Coturnix japonica: one gene and its partners. The protein of the gene in region 6 purifies or fractionates together with the protein of the main gene of each other region. This does not show direct contact. Links are inferred from orthologs where the notes say so. Each region holds a gene or a part of one and is shown on either strand. Other genes may lie near its edges. The genes, in order: DHX15, SNRPD1, SNRNP200, U2SURP, PHF5A, SF3A2 and SMNDC1.

Region 1 (3,686 bases), on a different chromosome or scaffold from region 6:
ATAGTTAGAAGAGGGCAGTTATCAAAGTAGACCTGAAACTTGCCAGCATCTAAAGTAGCACTCATAACTATAACCTGTAGGTATAGACAATAAAAAAGTTACCCCAAAGGCTGACAATGACCTGAGAAATGTTACACAAACAAAATACAGCAGCAGGAAACTAAACTCAATGTTAGCCATGATTTAAGCATGTTTCTATCACTATAGTACAGCACCTTCATTTCCATGTCCAAAAAACCATCCTAATTAAATATGGAAAGGTACAGATAACTGACTTTCTAGTATTTTCTTTAATACAAACTGCACTTAGGCCTTCCCTAGCATTACCTTTCTAATACAGTTCACCATTAACAGATCAAAAAGCCTCTCGATCTTTGTCAGTTGATTATTTTTCTTTATAATTACCTAGTGGTAAACGCATACACACTCTTCTTCAGCATGGCTGAACACAAAGATGTTGCTAGGCTTCATCATTACTGACCTTCAAATCAGCTCTCTGTCTTACAACTTCTTTCAAAACTCCCATCAAAATATCCGTAGCCAGTGTTCTCTCATGGGCCTCGTCAAGAATTATAACACCATAGCGCTCCAGCAAAGGATCATTCATTGCTTCACGAAGTAACATACCATCAGTCATATACCTGAATACAAAGACAATTCTATTTATTATATCTGATAAAGAATCCCCTTTCTTATTATTTATGAGGTTGCTTGAAGAAAGCCTTTATAAACCTTGTTTTTAGAATAGAAGAACTATTTCCAGCAAAGCAACAAATCCGTTTTCATTTTCACACAGAAGTTACCATAGGGTATATAAATGAAATCCGGCAGTAGAGATTAAGCTTAAAAAGTGAGAGGGTCAACAAGTTTTGGCAACATTAATGAGTAGTTTTAAGACTATTACTGGCAAACTTCCAGATCTACATTTAAAGACAGGGAAAAAAAAGGAAAAAAGATACAACTCAAATCCTAGAAACACTACTCCTGCAATAGTTTCGTTTTTAACTGAGCACTGTGAATGTGATCTGCAAACCACATACTAAGTGAGCTTGGTTTCACCTACAAAGCAGTGGAATCTGGAATAGCTAATAAATGAAACACTAGCATACATAAACTTCAGTTATGTGCCATAGATTTAGGCACAGATCAGTTCTGAAGCTTACTAGTACCTCTGCTTACTAGTGAAGTAAACTCCTAAACTTCACCAGAATTATCTTGGGTACTAAGTTACCACTGATAGAAGTCAACTCAACACATCATTTTTCTTTAAGAACAACTCATTTTCAAGTCTACGCCACACCCACGTTCTATATTTCTTTCACCTGACACTACAGCTTCCATCTCTTTTCCACTCACTCTTACTTCCTCATTACTCTTTCCAAAACCTTGCTAACATCCTCCACAGGGATCTTTATTGGACAGTCACCGTACTTACTTGAGAATGGTTTTTGCACTACTGCAGTCTTCAAATCGAATTGAGTAACCAACCTCCTGGCCCAGCATTACATCCATCTCATCAGCAACCCTCTGTGCCACACTCATTGCAGCCACTCTCCTCGGCTGGGTACATGCTACTCCCCTCTTTGGTCCAGGTAATGAGCGCATGTAGTCAACACACCATTGAGGGATCTGCCAAGAAATAGAAATAAAACAAAATTAGTTTCAACCACAGCTTCAATATCCAGATGCAATAAATATAACACAGTGGTTATATCAAATAAATATATTCATAATTTCACTGAGGTGACAACTGTATGTACAGAAATATCCAGAGTAGAAAAGCAGAGTATTTAGACTCAACACAATTAAGTAAACCATGCTCACCTTAAGCAAGTATGTAACTATCTCTGAAGTTATCAAGGAAATAAGAGGCTCACAGAACCTCTGAGCACTGTTAGTTCAGTAGCTTAAAATTATACTTTGCATTTAAAAAAAAAATATATATCTATATAATATATAATATATATATATATATATATATATATATATATTGTTCATTAATGTAGATTAATGAAAAAAAAAAAGATATTTTAATTATATACAACTTGCCTACCCAGGAATCATGACAAATAAACAAGATATGCTAATTTGGTTAACTTCTGTTCTTTGGAATTGTTATAAACTAGATATGAAATCCTAGTGTTTCAGTTTCTGTAACAACACGCTTTTTTGCTTATTTGTCAGGCACTGGTTTTCCAAGAAAGTCAGAATAATAAACAGCTTTACTTTGAAGACTTTGCAAGGTCAGTAACAGCCTGAAGAAAATGTAATATTATTAACATGTTCCATGTGATGTTTCATGAGGAGACAACTTCCAGGCAGAGCCAGTCCTAAGTTTACAGATGATATAAAATCTATTCCTCCTTACTAATTGGTTTTAACTATTATAAAAGGCTCACAATTACAGAAAAAGAAAGTGTTACCATTCATGAACCAATACAGAATAGCAGGAAGAACTGTGTAGTTTTAAGTAACCTAGGCAGATTTTCCTTCTCAAATGCTGTATCTCTACAGCAAAATGGAAACAACTGAACATATGCACAACAGACAATTGTAGACTAATGAAAAGCTGTTTTATTTTTTTCTTAAAAAGGAGAACATACCCCCCACTGTAAGTACAGAAATAAAATTTAAAAAAAGCAAAGATTAACAACTGAACAAAAGAACTCAGAAAATCCTATTCAAAACTAAAAATACCAACAGCTCATAAATACTGAAGACATGAGTCTGGAATCCTACCCAGTAGCACATACACACTTTCCAGGAGTGGAGTGTAGAAAAATGAAGCTGCTTCTCAAGTGACTAATAAAAACTCAACTCTGAATGAGGAGAAGCTTCTTAACTTTAAACAAAGCCAATCCTGACATCAGCTTTAAAGCAGGTTTCTCAGGACACAGTAAAGGGAAATAAAAATAATTTAGAGGCCATTTTCAAAGAAACAACAAAACCTACAATGCTGTCACCAAATGAAAGACAAAGCCTATGTAGACTTCAACACATGAATCTGATTTAGAAGACCATCAGAACAGTTTTCATGTCTCACTTTAAAAGAGACAAAGGACCATGATGTATGTTTGTTACTTGAGTGATGATCACTTTCAGGAACGTGAAACAACTTCCATCATCTAGATCTTACAGACCAAAGTTAACTCCACTGATGCAAATATAAAAATCCTAAATTTCCTTAATAAAAAGGAACCTCAATTAAATCTCAACCTCAATGACTTCAATAGAGAGATTTTCAAAGATAACTACCAACCAAAAAAAAAGGGGGCAGAGAAACACAGAGACCTGTGAGATCAAAGATGAAAGCAGTGAGGATTGTTGAAGTCCATTTTCAAGCCAAAAGAAAGGCACATTTTTTAAAGGAATGTAAGACAGGAGAGGAAGGAGCACTGTTCTGCCTGTTCTGAGATACTTCAATCCAATGAACTTTCTGTGTAAAGTTAGGGTAGAATTCACAACTGTCATTGGTTAATAGTTGAGTCCAACTTTTACTCATGTCATCTCTCTTGTAGGCTACAAGGACAGCAGGAGATAAAGCCATGCTCAGTATAATCACAGAATTGTAGGGGTTGGAAGGGACCTCTAGAGATCATCGAGTCCAACCCCCCAATGCTGCTTCTGAATTTCCAGAGCCACAAAACCTTGCAGGAAAGTGGCATCCCTTGTTATGGCAAACATCC
Region 2 (4,141 bases), on a different chromosome or scaffold from region 6:
AATGTAAAACTCCTTGCAGGGTTTATCAAACCTTCCTTATGCTAAAGGCCCAAAGTTCTCCATCACTTTAAGAATGGTTGCAATGCAAAGGTGAATTTGGTATTGTTTTTGCTAGTCAGCTGCTTCTGTTCTTGATGTTGTTGGAATAACTCACAAAAAAAAGGAGTATGGATCAGAGGAGGAGGTGTCACCCTAATGCCATGTTGCACTTGGGAGCAGCTTCTTGCTTTTCATGCATGATGTAACACACTTTAAAAGGAAAGGTTTTTTTCTTTAAAAAGCTACAAAATAACATGTGCTGGTTAACAATAAATGTGTGTCTTTAAATTTAGTGCTTCCAAGCTGTATAAAAAACAAGTAATCCTACTTGAGGACCAATTTTAAACTATTTTGTCACTTATTTTATATGGTTTGTTCAAAACCAGCCGTGAAACTTGCTTAAGGCGCTGCACATTGTTTAATATTTCCTGTAAGTACAGCTGTATATTCAGATTGCAGTTATAAAATGTAAATGGGGGGAGAAACGTGTAGAATCTTAGAGCTAGCACAGTTGTTGTTACTGAGGTTAGAACACAAAGCACTGATACTCCAGTGTTTCACTGTGTTGTGACTGAAACTGTGTACAGACTTTTGCAGTTATCTGTTCATTTTAACCTTGAATGTTGCTGGAGGCTTCTGGTTCTATGTGAGCATAACCTGCACATAAACATCAGTACTCACCATGCCTCTGTCTGCTTCTCGATGCTGTGCTGGGAATACCAATTGGTGGTTAACTGGAAACTCCTCTCTGACTTCATTTACCAGTGTCACCTCTGTCATAGACTCAAAGTGCAGGAACACCATAAACTCAGTATGTAATGGTTCTTACGGCTCTCGGGCAGCTGCCCTCTCAAACTTGGTTCTTTGCGGTTTGTTTAAAGCAAAACATAAAATAACAGATTTCATGTGGAAAAGAAGAGCTGTGGTGTGTGTGTAGGGATGGAGGGAGAGACGTGGGTTAACGTGGGTTCTCAGAGCTGGAGGGCAGCCAGATCTCAGTGCTTTACAAAAAGAGTCTGTATTGCAGAAATCACAACAGTGTACTCATCAATGATAATAAAAGGTCTGATTTTTCTAGATCCTGGCCGCTGCGTTTGTGTGCCTGAGCTCCTTATCAACTGCTTAACGTAGAAGCATCGCTGGTGCGGACTAGACTATTTGCACACAGCTACAGTGCTTAGATACGTATAATCCCGAGCCCACCATTCCAAAATGGCGGCAGCGCATCCCCTCAGTGCCCGCCCGCCCTCAGCCCCGCGCAGTCGCGCTGCGTCCCGCCCCTTCCGCCGCGCCGCTTCCGCCCATTGATCGCAGCCGGCGGCGGCCGCTCAATCTCTCGGGGCTCGGTGCGCTCGTTGGAGGCCGCGTTCCTGTCCGCCCGCGCTCGCGGCGCTTCCGCCGAGGCCTTTTCGTGCCCCCAGGGGCGGCCGCCGCTGCCCGCCGAAAGCCCCGCGGCCGCCGCGCCGTCCCGCCGGCGCAATGAAGCTCGTCAGGTGAGCGGATGGAGGCGGATCGCGGAGAGAGGCGGCGGGGAGCCCGCGCAGGCCGCCTCCCCCTCCCCACACACAGGCCGCCCGGCCTGTCGGGGCCTCGTTGCGGCCTGGGCTCTGCGGCGAGCGGCTGGGCCTGCGAGCGGGGCTGCCCGGGAAACCACCCCGGGGGGTTGGGGGCGGAGCCGGGTGGAAGCGCCTTCACGCGGTGCCGAGATCCAAAATGGCTGCTGCTTAGCTGGTGGTCAGAGAGCAGCCCGAGTTGGACGGGATGCACGAGGGATCCCGAACCCAACTCACGCAGGGCGCTCAAAACACAAACCCTGTGACTGGAAGCGTTGTCCCGACGCTGCTTGAGCCCGGTGCCACCGTTTCCAGCCCCTGGCAATTGGGCGCCGTTTGGGGCTTTGGCTTTGCCCCATGGAGCACCTTCAGTGCAGTTCATGGCAGCTGAGAACGTTTGCGTTAGGATGTACATCGATCGGTTCCCCGTATCAGCATGTGGTTGGACATAAGGCTTAGTGTGACAGCAAACACTCTGTGCTTAATTCCTAGGTTTCTGATGAAGCTGAGTCACGAGACTGTGACCATCGAGCTGAAGAACGGGACGCAGGTGCATGGCACCATCACAGGTACGGTGTGCCAGCAGCCTCCCAGGCTGATCTGAGCTGTGTGGGGTAAAGGAAACCGGTGCTGGCGTGGCTGGTGTAAGTGTGGTAATCTGAAATTACTGCAGCAGCATGCAGGCATTGTGAGACAGTGTCACTGCTGTATCAAAGGGCAGTGGTCATACAGCCTATCCACTTATGTTTCAGAACATTTTGGGGCTGGAACTTGAAGGTCCCTTCCAACTTAAACCGTTCTGTGATCTCATTGGTAAAGCTGCAGTACACTGTAGTTGCATCAAGAAGTCACCACTGAGTCACTGGCAGAGAGATATTTTTCTAACGGTAGCACAGATAAATGGTAAATGCTGAACATGGTTACAATCTACTGAGATGTAAGGGTTAAAAGCACGTTATTTTGCAGCCAGATCCGTCCATTTTGTTAGAAGCTGGCTGTGGTGGCAGCACTCTGTGCCTCCTACCCTTGTACTCTCACAGCCTTCGCTGTTGAGCAAAGTCTCTCTCATGCTGTGCTAAGAACCTGTAAAACCCTGCAGTGCCATCCATGGTTCTAAAATGACAGTCATCCCTGTACATGGGTGTACGAAGCCTGTTGCAGCCACGGTGCCACCTGCAGTTGGTGCTTCTGATGCTGATGTTAGATGTGTTTGATCAGAAGATCATGGTTGTACTTAGAAGGAAACGCAGTGTTATTTTTCTACTCAAAAGTTCGTTTTCTTTCTTTTGAAAGGAGTAAAAAAGACAAATATTATGCTTTTGTAGTAAGTGGCAGTTTATTTGTTGTCCGGAGGAATCATTTTAAGTGTTTAGTGTTGCTATGACTTAAGACCTAGGAACAGATCCCTACAGCTGGTGGTAAGTGGCTCTTCCTTTGGAAATATATCAGTGTTGAGGGCAGCAGCTGATAAATCAGCATAATTAATAGAGGAAAAAAAGATGTAGTTTCTTCTTCCACTTAAGAGGCTTAATTAACAAATGGCACAGATCCAGAAGCGTGTGTTAGCAAAGTCTTGAAGCACGTGCACAGTTAATAATAGCCAAAGAGGAGTCATCCTGTGTGTTCCCACCCCTGAAATCAGCCTTGTGTTATTTCAGGAGTGGATGTCAGTATGAATACTCATCTCAAGGCTGTGAAAATGACGCTGAAGAACAGGGAGCCTGTACAGCTGGAGACATTGAGCATTCGGGGGAATAACATCCGATACTTCATCCTACCAGACAGTTTGCCCCTGGACACCTTGCTAGTAGATGTTGAACCAAAAGTCAAGTCCAAGAAAAGAGAAGCAGGTGAGTGCATGATTTCCCAGTCTCTGCTTGTTTTACTTTGTGTTTTCGTGCTCTCGCTCTGAAGGCATGTGATTGGAAATCTTAATTTCTGTATTGCTTTCATCTCTGAGGGTTTGTACCGAACTCTGCCTTGTGTACCTTCATTGTGTCTGTAGTCTCCTTTCATGAGAAGTTATTTACACAGCTTCTCATGCATCTGTTTTAAAGTGTAAACGTCTTTAAGTGTGAGTAAATCTTAACCTATGGCATTCTCAGAGGCAGCACCAATGGGATGCACAGTTTCTCTTTTCAAAATGTCTGCTCTGTTTCCCTGGTTTCTGTGTGTAACTTTGTATTTAGCCTAATAAGAAAATATAGAGCAGCCTCAGGAGCGGTGCTGGACTGAAATCTCACTTGGCAGTGGATACAAACAATCTGCTGGAGAACCGAATTGAAGGGGCTTCAGAATGCAGAGGGAGCTGAGGCTGTGTTCCTGTGGATAAAGCCCTTAAAGCCTAACAGAATAGGGAATGCTTCTGGTTTTGTTCTGCGCCGTTAACAATTAATATCCAGTAAACTCCACAAAGTTTGTGTCTTCAGGCAGTAAAAGTTTTGCCCAGCAGTGTTAATCAGTGTGTCTTTCCAGAAATAAGTTAAAGGTAATCGTGCTCTAAAGCAACTGCTTGCCATTTCTCCTGTAATTTATGCTTAATTATTTGG
Region 3 (4,410 bases), on a different chromosome or scaffold from region 6:
CTATAGGGACTCTGGGTATACAATGGGGATCAATGGGGGACTCCATAGGGCACTGTGGATGCAATGGGGGGCTCTATAGGGCCCTGGGGATGCAATGGGGATCAGTGGGGGACACTATAGGGGCTCTGGGGATGCAATGGGGATCAGTGGGGGGCACTGGGGATGCAATGGGGGGCTCTATAGGGGCTCTGAGAATTCAATAGGGATCCATGGGGGACTCTATAGGGCTCTGTGGATGCAATGGGGATGCAATGGGGATCAGTGGGGGACTCTATAGGGGCTCTGGGGATGCAATTGGGGGCTCCATAGGGCTCTGGGGATGCAATGGGGATCAGTGGGGGGCCCTGGGGATGCAATGGGGGGCTCTATGGGGGCTCTGGGGATAGAAAGAGGATCAGTGGGGGACTCTATAGGGACTCTGGGTATACAATGGGGATCAATGGGGGACTCCATAGGGCACTGTGGATGCAATGGGGGGCTCTATAGGGCCCTGGGGATGCAATGGGGGACTCTATAGGGGCTCTGGGGATGCAATGGGGACCAGTGGGGGGCACTGGGGATGCAATGGGGGACTCTATAGGGGCTCTGAGGATTCAATAGGGATCAGTGGGGGACTCTATAGGGGCAGTGGGGATCAATAGGGATCAATGGGATCAATAGGGATCAATAGGGATCAATAGGGATCAATGGGGAGCAATAGGGATCAATGGGGGACTCTATAGGGGCTCTGAGGATTCAATAGGGATCAGTGGGGGCTCTATAGGACCCTGGCTATACAAGGGGATCATTGTGTTGCTCTATGTGGGGCCAAACATGGTCCCCCCCCCGTCCTCTCTCACCTGTCCGTGCTCCGCCCTGAGGCCTCATTGGGGGCGGTGAGGCCGGAGGCCGCGGATCCACTGGGCCGAGCGGCGGCGGGAGGAAGGGGCGGCCTACCCGGAGGTGTTTACTGACACGGAGCTGCTGGTAGGAACACAGGCTGTACTGGAAGGACGAGCTGAAGAGCCCCGAGCGGGGCACACGGGCCGAGGACAGCGGGATTTGGTACCAGCGGAGCAGCCCCGCCCGCTGACCTCGTCGCGCCGACGTCCCGCGCAACATGGCGGCCATGGGCGGGCGGGGTGAGAGAAAAGGGCGGGCTCTCCTCAGAAAGGCGGCGCTACCAAGTGCGGCTACTAACGGCGGGATTGGCCGTTTAACTGCCGACAGGAGCCCGGCAGCCAATCGCGGCTCGAGGGTTCGACCAATCAGCGCGCGCGCTGAACGGGATTGGTTAAAGAAGAGAAGTGTCCCGCCCACCTGTGCTCTCAGCCAATCAGAAGGGGTGGAGAGTGTCCCCGCCCCCCACCTCCCGCGGTGCATGCTGGGAGCTGCAGTCAACGGGCCTCTGCCGCGGTGCATGCTGGGAGCTGCAGTCAACGGGCCCCTGCCGTGGTGCATGCTGGGAGGCCTTGTGCGGAACCTCTTCCGGGATCGGGCTGTTTCCGCTTCCGTTGTTTCCGCTTCCGCCGGAAGTTCAGCTCCAGGGCCTGTTCCCGTGCACGGCGGTGGCGGGGCGGCAACATGGCGGACGTGACCGCTCGCAGCCTGCAGTACGAGTACAAGGCGGTGAGTGCCGGCTCGGGGCCTGTGCGCGGTGGGGATGCCGGCCTCATTCCTCCGGGCCTTCCCCGTCTAACGGGGGCCAATATGGCGGATCTCGTATAGTGAGGCCTTGTCGGGCCTTGTGTGGCCTGTGGTGATTTAAACCGGGCCTGTTTGAAGCCGGGGGCTTTAAGAGATGGTTGGAGGTGCGGCCTGCGTCCCTTATGGGCGGTGGGGGCTGCTGGATATAGGGCTGTGGGGAGGATAATAGGGGCTATGGGAGGATATAGGGCTGTGGGGTGGGGGTAATAGGGGCTGTAAGAAGGATATAGGGCTGTGGGGAGGATATAGGGGCTGTAGGATGCTTATAGGGCTGTAGGATGCTTATAGGGCTGTAGGATGCTTATAGGGCTGTGGAGGGATATAGGGCTGTGGGGAGAATACTGGGGTATGGGAAGGGTAATAAGGGCTGTGGGGAGGGTATTGGGCTGTAGGAAGAAAAATAAGGACTGTGGGAGGATATAGGGCTGTAGGAAGGATATTGGGGTATAGGAAGGGTAATAAGGGTTATGGGAGGAATGTAGGGCTGTGAGAAGGATGTTGGGCTGTGGGGAGGGATATAGGGCTGTGGGGTGGATATTGGGGTATGGGAAGGGTAATAGGGGCTGTGGGGAGGATATAGGGGCTGTAGGATGGCTATAGGGCTGTGGGGGGGTAATAAGGGCCGTGGGGAGGATATAGGGCTGTGGAAGGATATAGGGCTGTGGGGGGGAAAATAAGGGTTGTAGGATGGATATAGGGCTGTGGGGGGGTGATAAAGGCTGTGGGGAGGGTATTGGGGTATGGGAAGGATAATAAGGGCTGTGGGGATGATATAGGACTGTAGGAAGGATATAGGGCTGTGGGGAGGATAATAAGGGCTGTGGGAGGATATAGGGCTGTGGGAGGGATATTGGGCTGTGGGGAAGGTAATAAGGGTTCTAGGAAAGATATAGGGCTGTGGGGAGGATAATAGGGGCTGTGGGAGGGATATAGGGCTGTGTAATAAGGCTGTAGGAACATAAAGGCTCCACCTGATGCATTGTGACCCCCATCCCCCCCCCAGAACTCCAACCTCGTGCTCCAAGCTGACCGTTCTCTCATTGACCGGACGCGACGCGATGAACCCACGGGTGAAGTGTTGTCCCTGGTGGGTAAATTGGAAGGGACGCGGATGGGAGACAAGGCGCAGCGCACCAAGCCACAGATGCAGGAGGAGCGACGGGCCAAGTGAGAGCTGAGCGGGGCCTGGGGGTGGGAGGGGGCTCTGAGGGGGCTGTGGGGCTTCAGTGGTTATAAGCAATGTGGAATCACACAGTGATGGAGGTTGGGAAAGAGCTGTGAGGTGATGGATCCCAATTGGTGCATACACCACTGAGTGGTGGCATTGAGTGGTGGTATCGTGTTGGTGTATGGTCAGATACCAACATATATGGTTGTTATATGTGGTTGAGTTGTGGGTCCTCAGAGCCCCCCCAGGTTCATCTCCTGCCCTGGTGCCCCCCTCCAGCTTATACCCAACACAACTTCAGTCGCCTTTGGCACCTCCAGGGTTGGGGCACCCACAGCTCCTCTGTTCCACCACCCTCATAGTGAAGAAGGTGACCCTAAATCTCCCCTCTTTTACCCCAAAGCCGTTCCCATATCCATCAGCCCATCCCCAAGCACCACATACACACACCTTTTGATCCTTCAGCATCCTTCACAGCTTTCCCAATGTAGAAATACTTCCCCTCGACCAAAACTTCCCCAATTCAACCCAGGGCTGGGGTCTCTTGTGATGCTGTGGGATAAAAGATCAACCCCCCCTCACTGCTGTGTCCTCCTTTGAGGCAGATATGGAGTTTCTCCTTTTCTCTCCAGGCTAAATAACCCCATTCCCTAAGCTGCTCATTGTAAACTGGCTCCAGACCCTTTGCAGCTTCATTCTCTCTCCTTGTCGGGAAGCGAAAAGTGAAAGGAAAAGGGCTAAAAAGGAGGAAAAACGGGGCAGAGTTTACCTTTATTTTTAACAAAGGGAAGGCCCACGCTTTGCTGTCCAGCATTACTGGGATTCCCTGCTTTGAGCTGCTATGGGTGCTCTCTGTTTGCAGGAGGAGGAAGCGCGATGAGGACAGACACGACATCAACAAGATGAAGGGTTACACTCTGCTGTCCGAGGGCATCGACGAGATGGTGGGGATCATCTACAAGCCTAAAACCAAAGAGACACGGGAGACCTACGAGGTGTTGCTGAGCTTCATCCAGGCTGCCCTCGGGGACCAGGTGAGGAGCTGGATGTGTGTGATGGGGGCACATCCATATCACAAGGGGGATAATATCTGTGCCATAATATCTGCCCCTATGGTGATCTCCTGCTTATGTGGCTGCTGGTTGTTCCCCAGCCACGAGACATTCTGTGTGGAGCTGCTGATGAAGTGCTGGCAGTGCTGAAGAACGAGAAGCTGCGTGATAAGGAGAGACGTAAAGAGATCGATCTGCTGCTGGGCCAGACTGACGACACCCGTTATCACGTGCTGGTGAACCTGGGCAAGAAGATCACGGATTATGGTGGTGACAAGGAGATCCAGAACATGGGTATGGACAGATTATGGTGACAAGAAGATTTAGAACATGGGTATGGGCACAGATTGTGATAGTGACAATGAGATTCAGATCATGGGTATGGGCACAGATTGTGGTGGTGATAAGGAGCTTTAGAACACAGGTATGGGCACAGGTTGCAATGATGATAAGGAGATTCAGAACATGGGTATGGGCACAGATCATGATAATGACAATGAGATT
Region 4 (3,686 bases), on a different chromosome or scaffold from region 6:
AATTACACACACACACTGTTTGATAACTGAACTCTTCCTCAAAAACCAGAAGTACGATTACACAAAACCTCCACACCTTCTTGGGAAGAGGAGTCTTCAGAATGGACAGTGATTCTGTAATGCAGTCTACAATTTCTTCAGCAGCTTCTGCGTTATTTAGACAGAAAACCATCGCATCACCAATATCATTCTTTCGAGGCGTTAGCCCACGCAAAATTTCCTCCAGCTTGTCTCTCTGTCTGAAATAGAAAGATTACAATACTTTCAATATAAAAATCAGCAGTATTTGCGGAATTTCTATTTAATGTTTTTGATTCTACTGACTTCAGGACTAAGGAAATTTGAAATAGTCATCAGTTCTACTCCTGAGCTATTTTTCAGTGACTCATAACATGCACCAATAAGCCCCTGTTCATCACATAAAGGAATAATGCTTGAAAAATTCACTGTTCAAGTATAAGCTATGAATAGAAATGAAGAAAAAATAGCTGACAAAACAGCCAATGCAGAATATTAATATATCCAAACACATAATAATCAATTTGAACATTGCTTAAGCCTGAATGAAAAATGAGTGAATGGAAGCCGTGTAAGTAATTTATAACATGGAATCAGAATCATCAGATAGAGAAAATTAGTAGAAAGCAATTCTTCCAGGTCTTCAATACAATATGAAGAAATCACTTTTAAAAGAGTATCTTTTTAACCTTTCTAAAAAGGAAAGGGAGTTACATAATATGTAATACATATGTGTTAATGTGTAATAATACCTATGACTTCAGAACCACAACTTGTGTCATAATTATGACGAAAAGGACAAAATGAGAATAAAAATCCACAGGCTATGAATACACTTGGATCAAAGACAGCAAAATTTAAAAAATCATGTAAGTATTCCCATTATTATTGCTATATATATATATTATCCACTATTACAGCCATTCCCATCACACATACAATTCGCTGCAAAGATCTCTGGCAGTCTCTCCCTTTTTGCTAATTAGTAACAGCTCCCTATTTTAATTTCAGAATAACATCAATAAAATTAAGATAACAACTGTTTAGTTCGCTCAGTTCCTACAATGCTAAGATCACTGTTTTGTAACTTCACTAAGAGACAGGAACAGAAAAAAAAAAAAAACAAAAAAAAACCAACAACAACAAAAAAATAAACAACTCTTCTCATACTCCCCATCCCCTTCATACAAAGGCTTAATATCCACTCTGCTGAAAGAACTCATGGTTCAGTGAAGGCAAACCTAACAAAATCCAGAATGTATTTAGCACTAAGAATCATCAAAAAGGCACTAATATAAAAAATAATGAATGAGAGTTCATACTCCTCCTTAAGTGCACCCTTCTTGTTTGGTTCCTCCACGAATGCCTCGGTTTCTTGCTCTTCTGACATCCCATGTAGGTATGGATTTAATGGTGGTGGCCTCCAAAAAGATCCATTTTTGAACATACGGAAATCTTCTGTCCTCCACTTGGTTGGAGCATCTCCCTGCAAAGAATAAGTTTTTGATTTAGCTTTGTTTTGTCTCTTTACTTCTACTTCATAATTCTTAATGTTACAAACTAACACTTAAGACTTTACTGACCTGAAGAATTGAATAAAGCTTCCATCTGTAATACACATGGGCTGGAGTCTGGTTTTCAAACAGAAACCTAAACCAGAGAAGACAGACAAACAAAACACACTAGAAGTTAATTACCTGAAGATAATTTGAAGGAAGCCATAGCAAATATACCCAAACCCTGTTCACAATCACACTCCACTGCACAACCACTGTTGGAGCTACTGCAGCCTCAGCACAAGCTGAGGAATTCATAGCAAAACCAATTCCTATTAGCAGTTCAGAAGTGCAAAACACTGGCTATAGCAAAAGTAGTTTACACAGTTTCAAATTAAAGCAATGTAATAAGCACCTGAACATTGGGTTGTTGATTTCTCGGTTCATGATCATGGCTTCAAACATAGGCCCTTCCCGTACCACAAACTCTATCATTCGATGTATCAGTGCGAGCAAATTCCTACAACAACAACACAGTTAAAGAAAAATTGATTCAGACCTAACACTATATAAAGCTACACTCCATCTAAGATACTATAACTGTGCAGGAGATTATTTTGCTGTATTGTTATGGACTGTACAGAAGATAAGGTAACATGGAACGAATAATAGCCTTGCATCACAGACACAGGCACTCCAAAATAAAAACATGCCTAAGAGCGCTCGAGTAACAACTTAGAAGGAAACCTCATTGCTGAATTTCCACAGCTTAGTCTACAACCATCTCCTGCATAGGAGAAGCTCAATAGTCCTTATGCATAAAACGGGCAACTGAGCACAAAAGTGCAATAAACCCTTATAATTTTAGCCCTCACCTAATGAATCTAGTACTAAGATCCAAGTGTTAACTGCAGTTCTACAAACAAGCAAATGGCTGAATACTGTGTTCAAAACTAAATGCAAATGGTTTTGAATATTCAATAGAAACTGCATTCAGCTCTCAAACTATTCAAGAATAAATGGAAAAGCAAATAGCCTTCTTGATGCCAAACAGAGCAGTGGCTCCTTTCAATTTGGGTAAACTCCTTTTGGTCAAGACTCAAGGATGAGATGCTGAACAAAATTGTTCATCATTCCATGTCACAGTACTCAGTGTTTCCTTCCTACCACAATCAAGAGAACCAAATCACAATTAAAGAAAAACATAAAAATCTGTATTCATTTTATTCAGCACTACTTCCTGAGACGAGCAAGAAGCATATTTGAATTAACTGCATGTTTTTGAAGCCGCATTTGAAAATGTAAATTCATTTATAAATGTGCTAATGGCTTACATATATATATAACTATATATATATATATAGTTATATAAGCTTTATAAATTAACGTTCTTTCAATTTCCAACCTTTTTGTTCTGTGGATTTTTTTCCCCTAGAAACCACTTTCTAAATGTTTCAAATAAAGATTATCCACACATATCAAAAACTTCACAGCACGTGCCTTCTGAATGCGATGCAAACAAAAAAAATACAGATTTTTACATTTTTAAATAAATTTTCTCAAATGAAACAAACTGGCACGGGTCTTTTAAACTAAAGCTCCCTATAGTAGATTTTCATTATCAGAATTCAAAATACTTGCATTGAAAAGCTGAATATCTTTCTATCAGATCTTGGTATTTAGGTGATTATTTTCCATCATGTGTAATCAAAAATTTGTCACAGATGCAACATATTAGATAAAATATAAAATATAGCAATAAAAAACCTGCCCATCTATCTGCAAACTTGGCAAACGTTTTATGCCAGCCAGCATTAATGTCTCTTTTCCTTTCATATCACACACACAAAAAACCAAACTGATATGTACAGCTTAGCTGTCCTATACTTCCACTTTTTATGACATCCTCAACACTTTAAGGAGGACAGTATCAACAGTTCTTCAGCCATTTTATTCAAAGCAGCATTCTGAAAGTCTAAATAGCAAAACTGTTCTTGTTATATGAACTGTATTTGAAAACACACATAGAAAAATTACAATGCTCTTTCACATCTCTGAGCTATCACAGCGTTTGTTTATTGTAAGGCTTCAATATGATCAATATGATCAATTCAGGCTTCCTGCAGAACCATGCTACTGGATTTCATTTAACTGTTCATTCATCAAGCACAA
Region 5 (4,234 bases), on a different chromosome or scaffold from region 6:
GCTCTACATCTGAACCTACAGATGAGACTAGAGCACGAAAAATACCTATTAGGAATCAATATGAATTGGTCTATTTAACTGATAAACTGCCAAACAAGTTCTTTGGTCCCACAGACAAGACAACAAAACTACTGCTTGTCACAGCACTTCTAGATGTAGAAGGCAGTACCACCAACAGCATTTCTATCCACATATAATACTTAGATACTAAGAAAGATGGTGCTCCCGCCAGATCTACTGACTAAATTCAGACACGGGCTTGCCCTGCAAGACCTCTAGAGAAAATATGGGTGCTGCAGAAAATTAAAGCAGCAGCTCAGTCAGCTAAGTACATTCCTCTAAATCAGAGCTGTTTGTCAGCACACTCTGCTGACATCAGGGTGTGCTGGAGATGGTGTTTGCAAAGGATCCAGCCCCAAAACCACACAGCCGATACTCTCCATTGGGTCCATACTCTGACACACTGCAACCGCAAGCATCACGTTCTTGCATTTCCCTACAGTCTTTCTACTACTTCATTGGCAGTTCTTCATGACTTGCCCTCACTATGATGGATATTATTGAATACCTAGAGAGCGAGCATCTGCCTTGTCAAAGGACGAAGGACACTAAGGGCTAATTTTACTGTAACACAAAAGTAAACATGGGTGGTGATTCTGTAGGCCTTATGGTACCATATATGCCAGTGGCATGATCATACCATGTATGGTATGATCACGGACACAGTAAGAAGCTGATCCTGCCACTGCCTTTGCAACGTCTAAAGTGTCTCTGCTGCTGATAAAACTTTGGCTGAGAGATTTAGTAAGATAACAGCTGAAAGTGGTAACAAGCAGAGCGTGGAGGAAGTGAACTGTGAGTATGCATCGTAAAGCACACAAGGATCCTATGGGATACAGAATCGAGGCACTGCTCGCTACCTCAAAGTGCTCCACAAACACTGGGAACCACCGACAGAAAAAGAAACATGCAAGGAAATGAAAACCAGTGCCAGTTCTGGGAGAGGAACCCAAGCATCCAATGTCCTAACATTAATATCACTTGCTCTAAGTCCCTTTAAAGATAAGCATAGCTATTAAACAAAGACATAAGCAATTCTACAGGAGACTGGATGACAACGTACATCTTTTTCCTGGATGGTGCACTCCTTGCAGTAGTAGGCATCAGACACCCCTGGGCCCCCGCAGATGACGCAGCGCCCTTGGTACGAGCCGTAGTTACACTCATCACATATGCGCACCAGGGTGCAGGGCCGCACGTACGAGTCACAGATCACACATTTGCCATCACCTGCAAGTACAGCAGTCTTTGGTTACAGAACGTCCTTTTCTCCACCCCACATAAAAGAGGAAAAGTCTGCTGGACAAAGAACTTGCCTGTATGCTCAAAGACAACGCAGTTAGACTGCAGAACTTTAGCTTACAGGCACAAGGTGCAACTTTATATTTACACAGACTTCAGAGGAACGAGGGCCAACAGCCAGCCATATCCAAGGCCAAAAAAAGGGCAAACCGGCATAAATTGCCACTTCACAGAGTTGCTCTTGCTTTCTCACAAGGGACTGAGAGAAATACAAGTGCTCTTATCATACAGGCAAACAGCCATCAGATGCCATGGACAGTCTCTGCTCTGCGGGCCCCGATCCAAAACTCTGACCTCCAGATGAAAGGCTTCAGATCTTATTACCAGTTCCCAAGGTATTTAATCCTGACTCTCACAAACAGCTCATTTAACCTGCTCTTCAATCTCAGTCCCAACTGCCCTCAGCTACTACCACTGGGAATCCATTTAACTTCTGTGTACTTCTGAAAACAGTTCAGTTGCTTCAGACTGTGCTTCTCCTCACTTCGCTTGTTTTTAACATTTTTTGGAGCCTAGAAATAGCTGGCTTACTTGTACTGAGCTCCTGCAAGGATCTAATGACCAATTGTGCTTATTCTTTTCTGCTATAGGTGAGCACGAGCACAGAATTATAGGGGTTGGAAGGGATCTCCAGGAATCAAGTCCAACACTTTGGCCAAAGCAGGTTCCTTGCAGTAGGTTGCATAGATATTTGTTTTTGCATATTCATCTGCTGTAGCACTTTTTTCCATCCATTTCCCATTCTAACAGATGCTGAAGGGAAGCTGTGCGGTCTTTTTCTCGCACTTGCTCCATACACTCAGGCCAACACACAGGTCACTCCTCCCAGCCCAAGCTGCAGTTACCTGCTATTTCTATTTGGTTGTGACCCCAAGTCAGCAGCAGAGCAAAAAGAGAAACCGAGCTGCAGGCACTTACCACAGAGTTGGGTTCTCAAACAACTACACGCAGAAGATGTACTTACATTTCTCACAAAGCCTTCCAATTGCTGTAAGGGGAAAAAGAATGCGAAAAAACACATATTACTTGAGGCTACATTTAGAACGCAAATACAAGCGACGCCTGTCCTCAGGGCACACCCACCCGGCCCACAGTCCCTCCGCACGGTGTCCGGCCAACGGCTCCCACCGGCCATAAGGAAACCCGCACTCAGCGCCGCATCGCGATCCCCAACCACATCCCTGCGGCCTCGGGGAGCGCCACGAACCCCGAGCTCAGAGGGCCGAGGGAAGAACGAGGAGCTGCGCGAGGGGCCTGACGGGCACCTAACGGGCACCTAACGGGCTCGAACTGCCGCCCGAGCCCACCGTCAAGGTGCGGAGGGCCACGACCGCGCCGGTACTCACCGACGCCCGCCTGCTTGCGGCAGAAGATGAGATCCGGATGGTGCTTGGCCATGGCGCCGGCGACACTTCTCGGTGCTCTGCCGCCGTGTCCCGGTCCTGTCAGGGGTGTGGAGAGCGTCCGACAAAGCGGCGCTCCGGGAGGGGACACCGACCCGTAACCGAGCTCCGCATGGTGCTTCAAACCCAATCCGCCTCGCTGCTCCCTTCAACGCGGGGAACGCCCGTACCCCCGCCATGGGAACGCCGCTCTCTCCTCCGGTACCTCCCTGCCAGGACCCGCTGGACCCCGCCCCCTTCAGCCTCCTCCCGCGCCAGAGGTATCAAAAGGGCGGACTGACGCCATCGGGGCGCGACTTCATCTTTGTCAGTGCACAAAATGGCGCCGTACTGCGTCCTGGCGGCTCGGCTGCGGGTGAGCGCCGCGGGACGGGCGGGGCCGGGCGAGGCCGGGCTGGGCGGTGGGGTGAGGGCCGCTGCAATCCTGGACGGAGGGCAGAGGGAGCGCGGGGCGGCGGGCGGAGGCGTGGGGCCGGGTCTCCGCTGTCTGCGCGTGTAGGTCAGCGCGTCCCCGGCGCGGCCCGACGCCCGTTTCCATGGCGATGGCGGGGCCGCACCGGCGGAGGCGGCTCGGCCGCCTGATGGGCCTCGGTGTCGGGCGGGTCCCGCCGCCTCCGGGCACCGCTGAGCCTCAAGGTGAGCGCAAGGTGACCGCGCCCGGGTAGGCCGAGATATCGCGCCTGGGGCCGTGCTTCCTCCTTCCGCGGGCTCCTCCTCATCTCGTGCCGTTAGCAGCCTGTGCCCTTGGCTGCCCGGCTCCAGGACTGCGGCCTTTCATGTGGATGGGAGTTCCTAGATCTGTTTGTTAAAGGGGCCGTGCAAGGCCAGGCGGCCACATCAATTATCTTTTTATTATTATTATTTTATTTTCCAAATGGCTTGAATCTACCTTCATAATGACTCTCCCAGTCTTCTCCATTGTGACCTCTAAAACCCACGTCTGCTTGTGCCCATCACGGGCACTACAGTACTAAGGGCATTATCCCGTTTACTATCTACTCACTAATAAACACTTGATTGTTTTTTAAAGCCTAGAAGGCAGTAGAATGCCATTTTCTCATGTAGTGCTGCTTGCTGTGCTGCCCTCAGTACGTGCCACATGGTGAAGCTGAGAGCTCGGACTGCTCCATTTGCCAGCTGTGACCTTGGGGAGGGTGTTCCCTCTACCCAGGGAGCTGCAGCAATAACCTTATCAGAGAGTCACAGAATAGCTCAGCTTGGAAGGGACACGTGAAGGATCGTTGAGTGAGGTGCTTTGAAAGCACTTTGTGAAGAAGGCAGTGGGCGTAATACCAAGCTTGCCAGAGTTCAAGAAGTGTTTGGACAATGCTTTCACACATAGGGCCGGCTTTTTGGGTGGTACCACGTGGAGCCAGGAGTTGGGTTTGATGATCTTTATGGATCTCTTTCTACTCAAGATATTCAGTGATTCTATGGTTCTTACTCACATTTTATGTTATTACTTTGTT
Region 6 (4,154 bases):
AGCAGCAGGATCCGAACCTCAGCTTCATCCGTCCTGAAGTAGAAGAGAAAGTTCACCACGAGCTTCACGAGGCGCTTCTTTAACACTGAAGAAGGAAAGGAGTGATGTGACAGCGAGCCCAGCGTGTGTGGGGCCCCCAAACCATCCCAGCACTCCCAGCATCTCCATTTCCATCCCAGTGCTTCCACCCCAGGACTTCCATTGTCATCCCAGCGCTCCTATCCCAGTACACCGTTCTGATCCCTGTGCTTCCATCCCAATACTCCCATCCCAGCACCTCCAGCTCCATCCTAATACCCCAATCCCAGCACCCCCAGCTCTGACCCAGTACTCCCATCCCAATACCCCCAATTCCATCCCATTACCACCATCCCAACACCCCCAGCTCTATCCCAACACCCCCATCCCAATACCCCCAGTTCCATCCCATTACCCCCATCCCAATACTCCTGTCCCCACCCCAACACCCCCAGCATTATCCCAATACCCCCATCCCATTACCCCCATCCCAATAACCCCAGTTCCATCCCATTACCCCCATCCCATCATCCTATCACCCCAACACCCCCATCCCCATCCCACCCCCAGCTCATATCCAATACCCCCATCCCAATACCCCATCCCAAACAAAACCCCAGCTCTGCCCCAGCACCCCCATTCCAACAGCCCCATCCTAATACCCCCAGTTCCATCCCAATACCCCCATCCCAACACCCCCAGGCTCTATGCCAATACCCCATCCAATACCCCAGTTCCATTCCCAATACCCCCATCCCAATTACCCCAATTCCATCCCTTACCACCATCCCAACACCTCCAGCTCTATCCAACAACCCCCATCCCAACACCCCAGCTCTTGCCCCAGCACCCCCAATTCCAACAGCCCCATCCCAATACCCCCAGTTTCCATCCCATTACCCCACCCCATCCCACCCCCACCCCATTACCCCCATCCCACACCTCAATCCATCACTCCCCATTCCCACCCCCAATTAACCCCCCCATCTTCCACCCTCACCCCCTTCCCACCCCCCCCTCTACCGCTGCCCCTTCTTGGGGACCCTCATCATGGATCTCTGCCGCTTTCTCTGCCGGTTGCCTGGACAGGACAGCAAGCTCCCGTTCGTTGTACCTCATGTCGGACCCCAAACGACCACCCCAACCCTACAAACCACCCCTAACCCTACAACCACCCCAACCCTACAACCACCCATACCCGACCCGGTAGTGCTCTATCCGGAACTAGAGGGGATGGAAGGGGGAGGGCAGAGCGCATGCGCCGGGAGCGGGGCTGAGCACGGCGGTATGGGGGATTTAGGGGGAGGGGATGTGGGGCTTAAAGGGGGGATATGGGGGAGTGAGACCCTCATTGAGGGGATGGGGTGGTCTGGAGGGGGGTCTTGGGCCCTGTGGGGGATTGTTTCGGGGCAGTGACCGTCGCTAAGGGAATAAGGGCCTGTGGGGCCTATAGAGCCTGTGGGGCCTATGGAGCTTATGGAACCTGTGGGGCCTGTGAGGCCTATGGAACCTGTGGGGGCTGTGGAGGCTGTGGGGCCTATGGGGCATGTGCAGCCTATGGGGCCTATAGAGGCTGTGGCATATGGGCCTATTTGGAGCCTGTGGGGCCTATGGAGCCTGTGGGGCCTATGGAGCCTGTGGGGCCTATGGAACCTATGGAGCCTGTGGGGCCTATGGAACCTATGGAGCCTGTGGGGCCTATGGAACCTATGGAGCCTGTGACCTGCACTGGAGAATGAGGGGGGTGAGGGGGCTTAGAGGGGTTCTTAGTGGAGGGACAGGACCCTCCAAAAGGAAACTGGGGGGCTATAAGTGGCATGGAGAGTTCGGGGGGTGTTTGTAGGGGGCTTTGAGGTGAGCTTTGGTGCTCGCTGAGGGAATGGGGGTGTTTAGAGGGGGGTGAGGGGGTGTCTGGGGGGTTGTGACCCCCATGTTAGTGGCTGGGGGGTGTGTGACCCTGTGTGAGAGGGTAGAGGTGGGCTGGGGGTGGTTTTGTCTCTTGCTGAGGTAATGGCAGTGCCTGGGCCGTGTCCTCGTGGCAGGGCTCAATGCGAGGCCCAGCTTAGGGCTGTGTTGTCACTTATGTGTCTTTTCTTCATTTTTCCAGACTTTTATTTTATTTTTCTCCTGAAGTCTCCAAAGCCCAGAAATCCCCACCATGGATTTTCAGCACCGTCCTGGAGGTAAAACGGGGAGTGGAGGCGTAGCTTCAGCCTCAGAAAGCAACCGAGACCGCAGGGAGAGGCTTCGGCAACTGGCTTTGGAGACCATTGACATCAACAAGGTGAGCCCCAGTCCTGCAGGCTACATGGGGTGAGGTCAGGGCTTCATCTCAGCAGAGAGTGAGAGGTTTAGTGGGGATCTGTGGAGTGGAATAAATACTTCTGTTCCCACTGATGAGGGACTCGAGCAACATGTGGAAGGGCCAAGCAGAGGGATACCAGCACTGGGCTTCTGTTATGTTCAGTCTTGGCACTGGTTCTTATTATGCTGCAGTTGGGTGTGCTGTTACCAGTGAACACAACTGCTCTTGTTCCTTTTTCTCTATATTCCTAAAGCAGTGTTGTGCTGATCCCTTCACTCCATGAGCTCATAGAGTTCTTACAGTGCAGCTCTGCTTTAGAATCTCGGTTGTTCAGTTGTTCCAATGCAGATTTTACATGTAACTTTTCAATCCTTCTCTTCCTAGGACCCCTATTTTATGAAAAATCACTTGGGTTCTTATGAATGCAAGCTTTGCCTGACGCTCCATAACAATGAGGTGAGTTGAGCAGCTGTCTGTCTTGATCTCCATGGCAGCAGATATTTTAGACTAATTCTAGCTCCAAGTGCTGGAACCGAAGCTGTTCCCGTTGGCTGATTGCTGGAGGGCCAATGGGGGGAGCAGAGGCTGTGTGTGTTAAGCATGACAAGTTTCTGACAGTTCAGCAGTTGTGAGCAATCTGAAATTTGTGAGTTTGATTCTGCTGTGCTCTGAGGATTAAAATATCTTTGTCAGTGTGAAATGTCACCTCTCATCTGTGACAAATATCTTTCTGTTCAGGAACAGTTCAGTCTTCATAACTTTCTTTTCCCCCCAGGGAAGTTACCTGGCACATACGCAGGGGAAGAAGCATCAGACCAATCTGTAAGTCATTCTCCACCGTGTTATTCTCCATTACTTGGGCACATTAAAATTAGATAATGAGCACCTATAAATCTTGGCCTCCATCATGTAGTAGCACTCTGGGCTTGAATGCTCTTTGTCTCTGTTTGTTTCCTAGGCATTCACCAGCTCTGCTCTGAACAGTGGTGCTGACAAGCTCCACTTCAAAGCCAGCTATGGCATTTAGATTAAGTATAACTGTAAGGGAAGCTGTTTTATGAATACAGCTTGAGAAAAGTTTGTAAGCTTTAATCTAAGAATTCAGGTTTGCTCTGCTTTAGATACCTGGCTTGTGTAATTCATTTCCTTTTTGACTTTTAAGAAGTCATCTCAGCTCCATCTGTGGAGCTGGACATCAAAGTCCTCTTAGGAGTGGGTGAGGTGATGGAGGTGACAGATTGTAGTCAAGGCAAGGAGTGGAACTGGCCTCCCATGGTGCTTGTGGAGGAGGAGCAGCAGTTTCCCATTATGCTTTCTGTGAAGTGCTGAATGCTCCGTCATACAGAACTCACTCTGCCTTTTAGAGTATCCTTCAGAACCAAGTGCTGATAACCATTTAACACTGCGCGTTTCCAATGAACCCAGGGCTCGTCGAGCTGCCAAGGAAGCAAAGGAAGCTCCTGCCCAACCTGCACCAGAAAAAGTCAAAGTGGAAGTGAAGAAGTTTGTGAAAATTGGACGACCAGGTTACAAAGGTTTGTCAGCAGTGCCTGTCATAGCAGATACCCCGTGGCTGCTGGAGCTTGCTTGAAGTGCAGTGCTGTGGGCATGAATTGTTCATCAGCCTTTTTAGCAGAGCTATCCATAAATAAGATATGGGCTTATCTCCTGATGTCCTTTATTGTTTAAATTACCCATGGGTTGTCTCTTTATTGCTGACAGTCGAGTGAGAGCCATTTTAATAATAGATCAGTACGTCTCAGTCTCTGTCAGTTCTTACTGTAGTCATATGGGAGATGGTGGCATTGCTTCAGTCTCTCTTTCCCTTTTA
Region 7 (4,438 bases), on a different chromosome or scaffold from region 6:
TGGCTCACTGCTTCAGGCTCCTCTAATCCTCCCAGGCTCTTCTACCCACTGCTCTGGCCCTTGCTCTCTATTTCCAGCCTCCCATCATCTTCTCAGCTTTGCTGTCATCCAAGCCTCGTGTGAACAGAAGCAATCTCGGCCGCAGCCTACCCAGCACCCTGAGCTGCAGAACCAGCATCTCCAGGCCCCAGGCAATCAGCACCAACACACTCGCTGACACAGAGTGCCTCGCAGAGAGAAGCCATGCCTTGACGTGGCATATTCCTCCATGCTGGAGGCACACGTCGAGCTGAAAAACCACCTGACAATCTGCCAGTTGTGTATCCTGACGCAGACCCATTGAACAGACCAGCTGTGTGCCGGCAGGTTGGGATTTCCTATGGGAGACACCATTTTGTCAGGATTCACAAAGCTGCCAACAGTAGGTGAACAGAAAACTCAGAACCTCAGGCTCTTCTGGAGCAGGTGATGCCCCAATGAGCGCAGGCTTTCTGTCACTTCTCCCTAATACTGACCTTTTCTTCTTATCTCCACGATGCTCCGCCCTGTCTCTTCATCCTCATTCAATTCTGATTCACCTCTCCCCCTCACTTTGAGTCACTGGGCCTTTTCACTGATGGGGGATAATTACTGTAATCACTCACAGTACAGAACATGTCAGAACTCTCTGTTTCTCCGCTTAGCGCCATACCTCAGGTCGGGTACCGGGGTTACAGGGAGTTTAATTATGTTCAGAACCTAAATTCACTTCACAAACAAACTCCTGTAAGAACAGGTATTTCAAACAGCAAGAATTAGGCCAAGATTCAGGAGTTGTAATGGCAAAAACAAACAAACAAACCAAAAAGAGCCAAACTGTGTGAAACTCCGAGTCCATGATTTGGAATAGAGAGAGAATGGAAACTCCAACCTTGTAATTTAATGGAGCAACAACAGCAATGCCATGAAATATCACAGAACTGCATCTATGGGCAAACTGGATGGCTCTGCCTACAATAATAAACTGTTACACAAAATAAATAGAAAGCATGAGAGGTTAATTTGTTACAGAATCACACAATGACCCGGGTTGGAAGGGACCTCAAGGATCATGTAGTTCCAACCCCCTGCCTGGCAGGGCCACCAAACATACACCTTTACTAGATCAGGTTGCCCAGGGCCCCGTCCAACCTGGCCTTGAACACCTCCAAGGACGGGGCATCCACAACCTCCCTGTGCAGCCTGTTCCAGGGCCTAACCACTCTGCTAGTGAAGAACTTCCCCCTGACATCCAACCTAAATCTTCCCTCTTTTAACTTAAAACCATTTCCCCGTGTCCTGCTATTGTCAGCCCTTTCCAAGAGTTTACTCCCCTCCTGGGAGTAAAAAATAGAACTATAGGAAAATAGAATAAGTCTATTGTGCGCGCAGCAGCATCGCCCCCTACCGGCCATCACCGAGCCGTGCCGCTCAGCGCCGCTCTCTCATCTCGCGATGCCCGGTGCGCGTTGTCCGCCGGCTCCTCCCACTTCCCGTCCCGTAGCGCGGCCCGCAGCTCCGGCCATCAGGCGGTACCGGCCCCACGGCTCCAGCGCGGCGGCCCGGCCCGGCCCTCGGGCCCCACAGCGCCCGCCGAGGTGAGTAGCGGCCGCTCGGTCCCTCTATACCGCCCCGCTGCCTGTCGCTACCCGCCGGAAGGCAGCCCGCGCTCGGGCCTGGGCCTAGGCCTAGTGTTACGGCCCTGCCTCCCCGCACGGCCGGGCCTTGGGAAGGGGAGGGATCGGGCTCGTTACGCCGCAGGCTGCCGTTGTTGTGCAGCTCTCAGTGCAGGTGAAGGAGCTCCGTGCCCGCTGTTGTTGTTATTGTGCTGAGCTGTGTGTTCCCTGCAGATGTCGGAAGACCTGGCCAAGCAGTTGGCCAGCTACAAGGCCCAGCTGCAGCAGGTCGAGGCGGCCTTGTCTGGGAACGCTGACAACGAGGACTTGCTGAAGCTAAAGAAGGACTTGCAGGTGAGGCAGTGGGAGCGGCCTGAGGGTGTTTGGGGGTTTTTTCACCTTTCCTTGATGTCTGTGTGGCAGCTGTCTGTGGTAGAAGTGCCGCTCTGCAGCACAGAGACTCGAATCCCGGGAGTTAGGGATGTTACGGGGAAGTTCTTTACTAGGAGAGTGGTGAGGCCCTGGAACAGGCTGCCCAGGGAGGTTGTGGATGCCCCGTCCTTGGAGGTGTTCAAGGCCAGGTTGGACGGGGCCCTGGGCAACCTGATCTCGTAAAGGTGTACGTGCTGAAGCCTAATGGGTGGCTTAACAGTGCTTCATTCTGCCTGTTCCTGAGCTGTCAAATCCTTCATCTAGGATCCGTGTATTCATTACGTGCAACGATATAAACTTCAGTCTGTTTCTGCATCCCTTGTACATCTAATCCTCTGTTGTGCTAAGAATTATGTAAGAAAGGAAGACAGATGTGTCCTTCATTTGCTACCTGCAGTTTCTTTAAACGTTTGAGCGTAGCACCCTGTAAAAAGCTCAGACCAGTTCTGTGCTTCAGGTACTGTTCAGTGCCAGGAAGACCAGCGGCTAATTTTAAATTGATAATAGGGCTCTTAGATTCTTGTGTATAGAAAGTTACACTGGCATAGAAGAAAACAGCACTGTTCAAATCTCACGTGAGAGTGCAGGATGCTGCCTCCTTTCTGCTGTGGATTGCTTTGACACAGTCAGTGATCTTTAGAATTCCTTTTAAATGATAAAGGCTTGGTGCCCACAGGGCTCTTAGTAGATCATCTGAATGTCCTTTGCTGTACACTGTTAAAAGCATGTGTATATGTTTATATTTTTAAAATGCACAGCCAAACCCATATGGGATATTTCCGATACCAACCCGACCTCGGCTTTGAGATCATTGATGTGAAAGGACAACTTGCAAACTTTTTAATAAAAGCTTTCTGCACAGAATGGGGAAGATGTTTACACTGTCGTCCCCAAAAGGTTTGCTATTCATATGTTCCACCTTGCAAATGACGTAGACAATGTTTTGCAGACTTAACATGTCAACCTAACGATTGTAAACGTGGGTTCAGTGCGTTCTGTCCTGACTATGGAGCTTTTCTTTTGTTCAGACTTAATGTGAAGCTGAAAGATCCTCTTACATTTAACATAGAGATGCACTGCTGCATTTTGTATACTGAGCCTATTCCTGATGAACGGGATTAAAATAAATACGACAAGAAACTTTTACAAATGCTTTGCTCTTTGCCTTTTGTTCCACTGAAGGGCTTCTTTGGACACTGTCCATACAGCAAAGCAACGAACTCTGTGCTTTGTGCGAGGTAGAACTGATGGCAGCCATCACCTTCTGTAGTTGGAGATGGAATATAAAGTTCTGCCTGAGTTTTTTAGAGAGCAGCTGGTGAGGAAAAACCCTGACAGACTCTCACTGGAGTTCCCTGCAGGTCACACTCCCATGCCACACAGACACAGCAGCCCATCCTGCTGCTCAGCTCAGCTCCTGGACTAAGCTGCTGTGGTGTCTCTTGTGCAGAGATGTTCATTGAATAAGCTGCTCCCTTAAAGATTGCTACAGAACGATCTCAGGAAGATTTGTACCAAAAGTTTGCTATTCGTTGCTTGTTGTTTAAATGACTTCATCGGATTTGAAGAATTGCTGGTAGAATGGTTTTCAGCTACTCCCATTTGGAGTTCTGTAATAAACCACCGATGAACGTGATGAGAACATGTCAACACTTCTGTGTCACGCTGGTAGCACGCACAGCAGAAATGCTGGCACTCCATTTACATGTATTTGACATGCTGAGATGGCACCCATTTCAAAGCCTCTCAATTTTCAGACAACATACAGTTGTATGTTGATGGCTGGTTTGGTGTTTCTCACCTGGAAGGAAAAATTATGCAGATATTGTGTTTTCTGAAGAGCTCTCAAACTGGGTAACCTCAGAGTCTGTTCTAGTTCAGCTGTAATGTTACAGAAGTTAGAGATCAAAGTTAAATAGAAATAGTTTTCAGCATGTCACTGTGCTTATAGTCGCTACCCATTGTGATTACTGTTCAATTTAGAAACAAGCAAGTTCTTAAAACAGAGAACAGAGCTTCTGTTAGAAAGGTGCTGACAAATTAAGACAGTAACAACCGCTACAAACAAACAGGACATTCATTCTGGTTGTACAGGTTATTGGATGAAAGTGCACAGAAGGGTACATTGCATTAACCTGCTATCTGGGAACTGCTTACAGTCTTCTTTGTTCTTGAGGAATGAAGAATAGCTTCTTCACCACCATTCCCTCAGCAAGTCTTAAGTCCACAGTTGGACTAGTTCTAGTTGAAATCAGTGGTCTCAGTGTTGGGGAACAGGGATATAATATGGGGAGGAAGGTTTGAGGAGAGGGCTGGCTGCGTGCTCCTATCTAAATGAATAAGGTTTAAAGGAACTGGAGAAATTTGTTAAG

What was found.
Region 1: the proteins of SF3A2 (region 6) and DHX15 purify together in Homo sapiens (affinity purification with mass spectrometry; 4 studies listed by BioGRID and IntAct, with this or other methods). This does not show direct contact. The link is inferred for Coturnix japonica from reciprocal best matches to the Homo sapiens genes SF3A2 and DHX15.
Region 2: the proteins of SF3A2 (region 6) and SNRPD1 purify together in Homo sapiens (affinity purification with mass spectrometry; 4 studies listed by BioGRID and IntAct, with this or other methods). This does not show direct contact. The link is inferred for Coturnix japonica from reciprocal best matches to the Homo sapiens genes SF3A2 and SNRPD1.
Region 3: the proteins of SF3A2 (region 6) and SNRNP200 purify together in Homo sapiens (affinity purification with mass spectrometry; 4 studies listed by BioGRID and IntAct, with this or other methods). This does not show direct contact. The link is inferred for Coturnix japonica from reciprocal best matches to the Homo sapiens genes SF3A2 and SNRNP200.
Region 4: the proteins of SF3A2 (region 6) and U2SURP purify together in Homo sapiens (affinity purification with mass spectrometry; 3 studies listed by BioGRID, with this or other methods). This does not show direct contact. The link is inferred for Coturnix japonica from reciprocal best matches to the Homo sapiens genes SF3A2 and U2SURP.
Region 5: the proteins of SF3A2 (region 6) and PHF5A purify together in Homo sapiens (affinity purification with mass spectrometry; 5 studies listed by BioGRID and IntAct, with this or other methods). This does not show direct contact. The link is inferred for Coturnix japonica from reciprocal best matches to the Homo sapiens genes SF3A2 and PHF5A.
Region 7: the proteins of SF3A2 (region 6) and SMNDC1 purify together in Homo sapiens (affinity purification with mass spectrometry; 4 studies listed by BioGRID and IntAct, with this or other methods). This does not show direct contact. The link is inferred for Coturnix japonica from reciprocal best matches to the Homo sapiens genes SF3A2 and SMNDC1.

What each region holds. Positions count from the first base shown.
Region 1 is NC_029519.1:66,716,229-66,719,914, reverse strand, and holds part of DHX15 (pre-mRNA-splicing factor ATP-dependent RNA helicase DHX15), read right to left. Parts: intron 1,630-3,686; coding exon 1,436-1,629; intron 642-1,435; coding exon 482-641; intron 75-481; coding exon 1-74.
Region 2 is NC_029517.1:39,382,146-39,386,286, reverse strand, and holds the start of SNRPD1 (small nuclear ribonucleoprotein Sm D1), read left to right. Parts: upstream 1-1,341; 5' UTR 1,342-1,518; coding exon 1,519-1,532; intron 1,533-2,084; coding exon 2,085-2,161; intron 2,162-3,250; coding exon 3,251-3,442; intron 3,443-4,141. UniProt on the Homo sapiens protein: Plays a role in pre-mRNA splicing as a core component of the spliceosomal U1, U2, U4 and U5 small nuclear ribonucleoproteins (snRNPs), the building blocks of the spliceosome.
Region 3 is NC_029537.1:1,057,975-1,062,384, reverse strand, and holds the start of SNRNP200 (U5 small nuclear ribonucleoprotein 200 kDa helicase), read left to right. Parts: upstream 1-1,474; 5' UTR 1,475-1,563; coding exon 1,564-1,608; intron 1,609-2,689; coding exon 2,690-2,853; intron 2,854-3,716; coding exon 3,717-3,888; intron 3,889-4,007; coding exon 4,008-4,200; intron 4,201-4,410. Other genes in the region: protein FAM178B, read right to left, coding at 840-1,110. UniProt on the Homo sapiens protein: Catalyzes the ATP-dependent unwinding of U4/U6 RNA duplices, an essential step in the assembly of a catalytically active spliceosome. Plays a role in pre-mRNA splicing as a core component of precatalytic, catalytic and postcatalytic spliceosomal complexes.
Region 4 is NC_029524.1:9,017,308-9,020,993, reverse strand, and holds part of U2SURP (U2 snRNP-associated SURP motif-containing protein), read right to left. Parts: intron 2,035-3,686; coding exon 1,930-2,034; intron 1,669-1,929; coding exon 1,602-1,668; intron 1,505-1,601; coding exon 1,341-1,504; intron 240-1,340; coding exon 77-239; intron 1-76.
Region 5 is NC_029516.1:45,263,214-45,267,447, reverse strand, and holds the start of PHF5A (PHD finger-like domain-containing protein 5A), read right to left. Parts: upstream 2,918-4,234; 5' UTR 2,761-2,917; coding exon 2,709-2,760; intron 2,593-2,708; exon of another isoform or gene 2,498-2,592; coding exon of another isoform or gene 2,446-2,497; intron 2,351-2,445; coding exon 2,327-2,350; intron 1,291-2,326; coding exon 1,124-1,290; intron 1-1,123. Other genes in the region: ACO2 (aconitate hydratase, mitochondrial), read left to right, coding at 3,085-3,120.
Region 6 is NC_029543.1:1,224,507-1,228,660, reverse strand, and holds the start of SF3A2 (splicing factor 3A subunit 2), read left to right. Parts: upstream 1-1,246; 5' UTR 1,247-1,303; intron 1,304-2,125; 5' UTR 2,126-2,176; coding exon 2,177-2,302; intron 2,303-2,707; coding exon 2,708-2,779; intron 2,780-3,098; coding exon 3,099-3,145; intron 3,146-3,748; coding exon 3,749-3,858; intron 3,859-4,154. UniProt on the Homo sapiens protein: Component of the 17S U2 SnRNP complex of the spliceosome, a large ribonucleoprotein complex that removes introns from transcribed pre-mRNAs.
Region 7 is NC_029521.1:22,832,163-22,836,600, reverse strand, and holds the start of SMNDC1 (survival of motor neuron-related-splicing factor 30), read left to right. Parts: upstream 1-1,496; 5' UTR 1,497-1,616; intron 1,617-1,868; coding exon 1,869-1,988; intron 1,989-4,438. UniProt on the Homo sapiens protein: Involved in spliceosome assembly.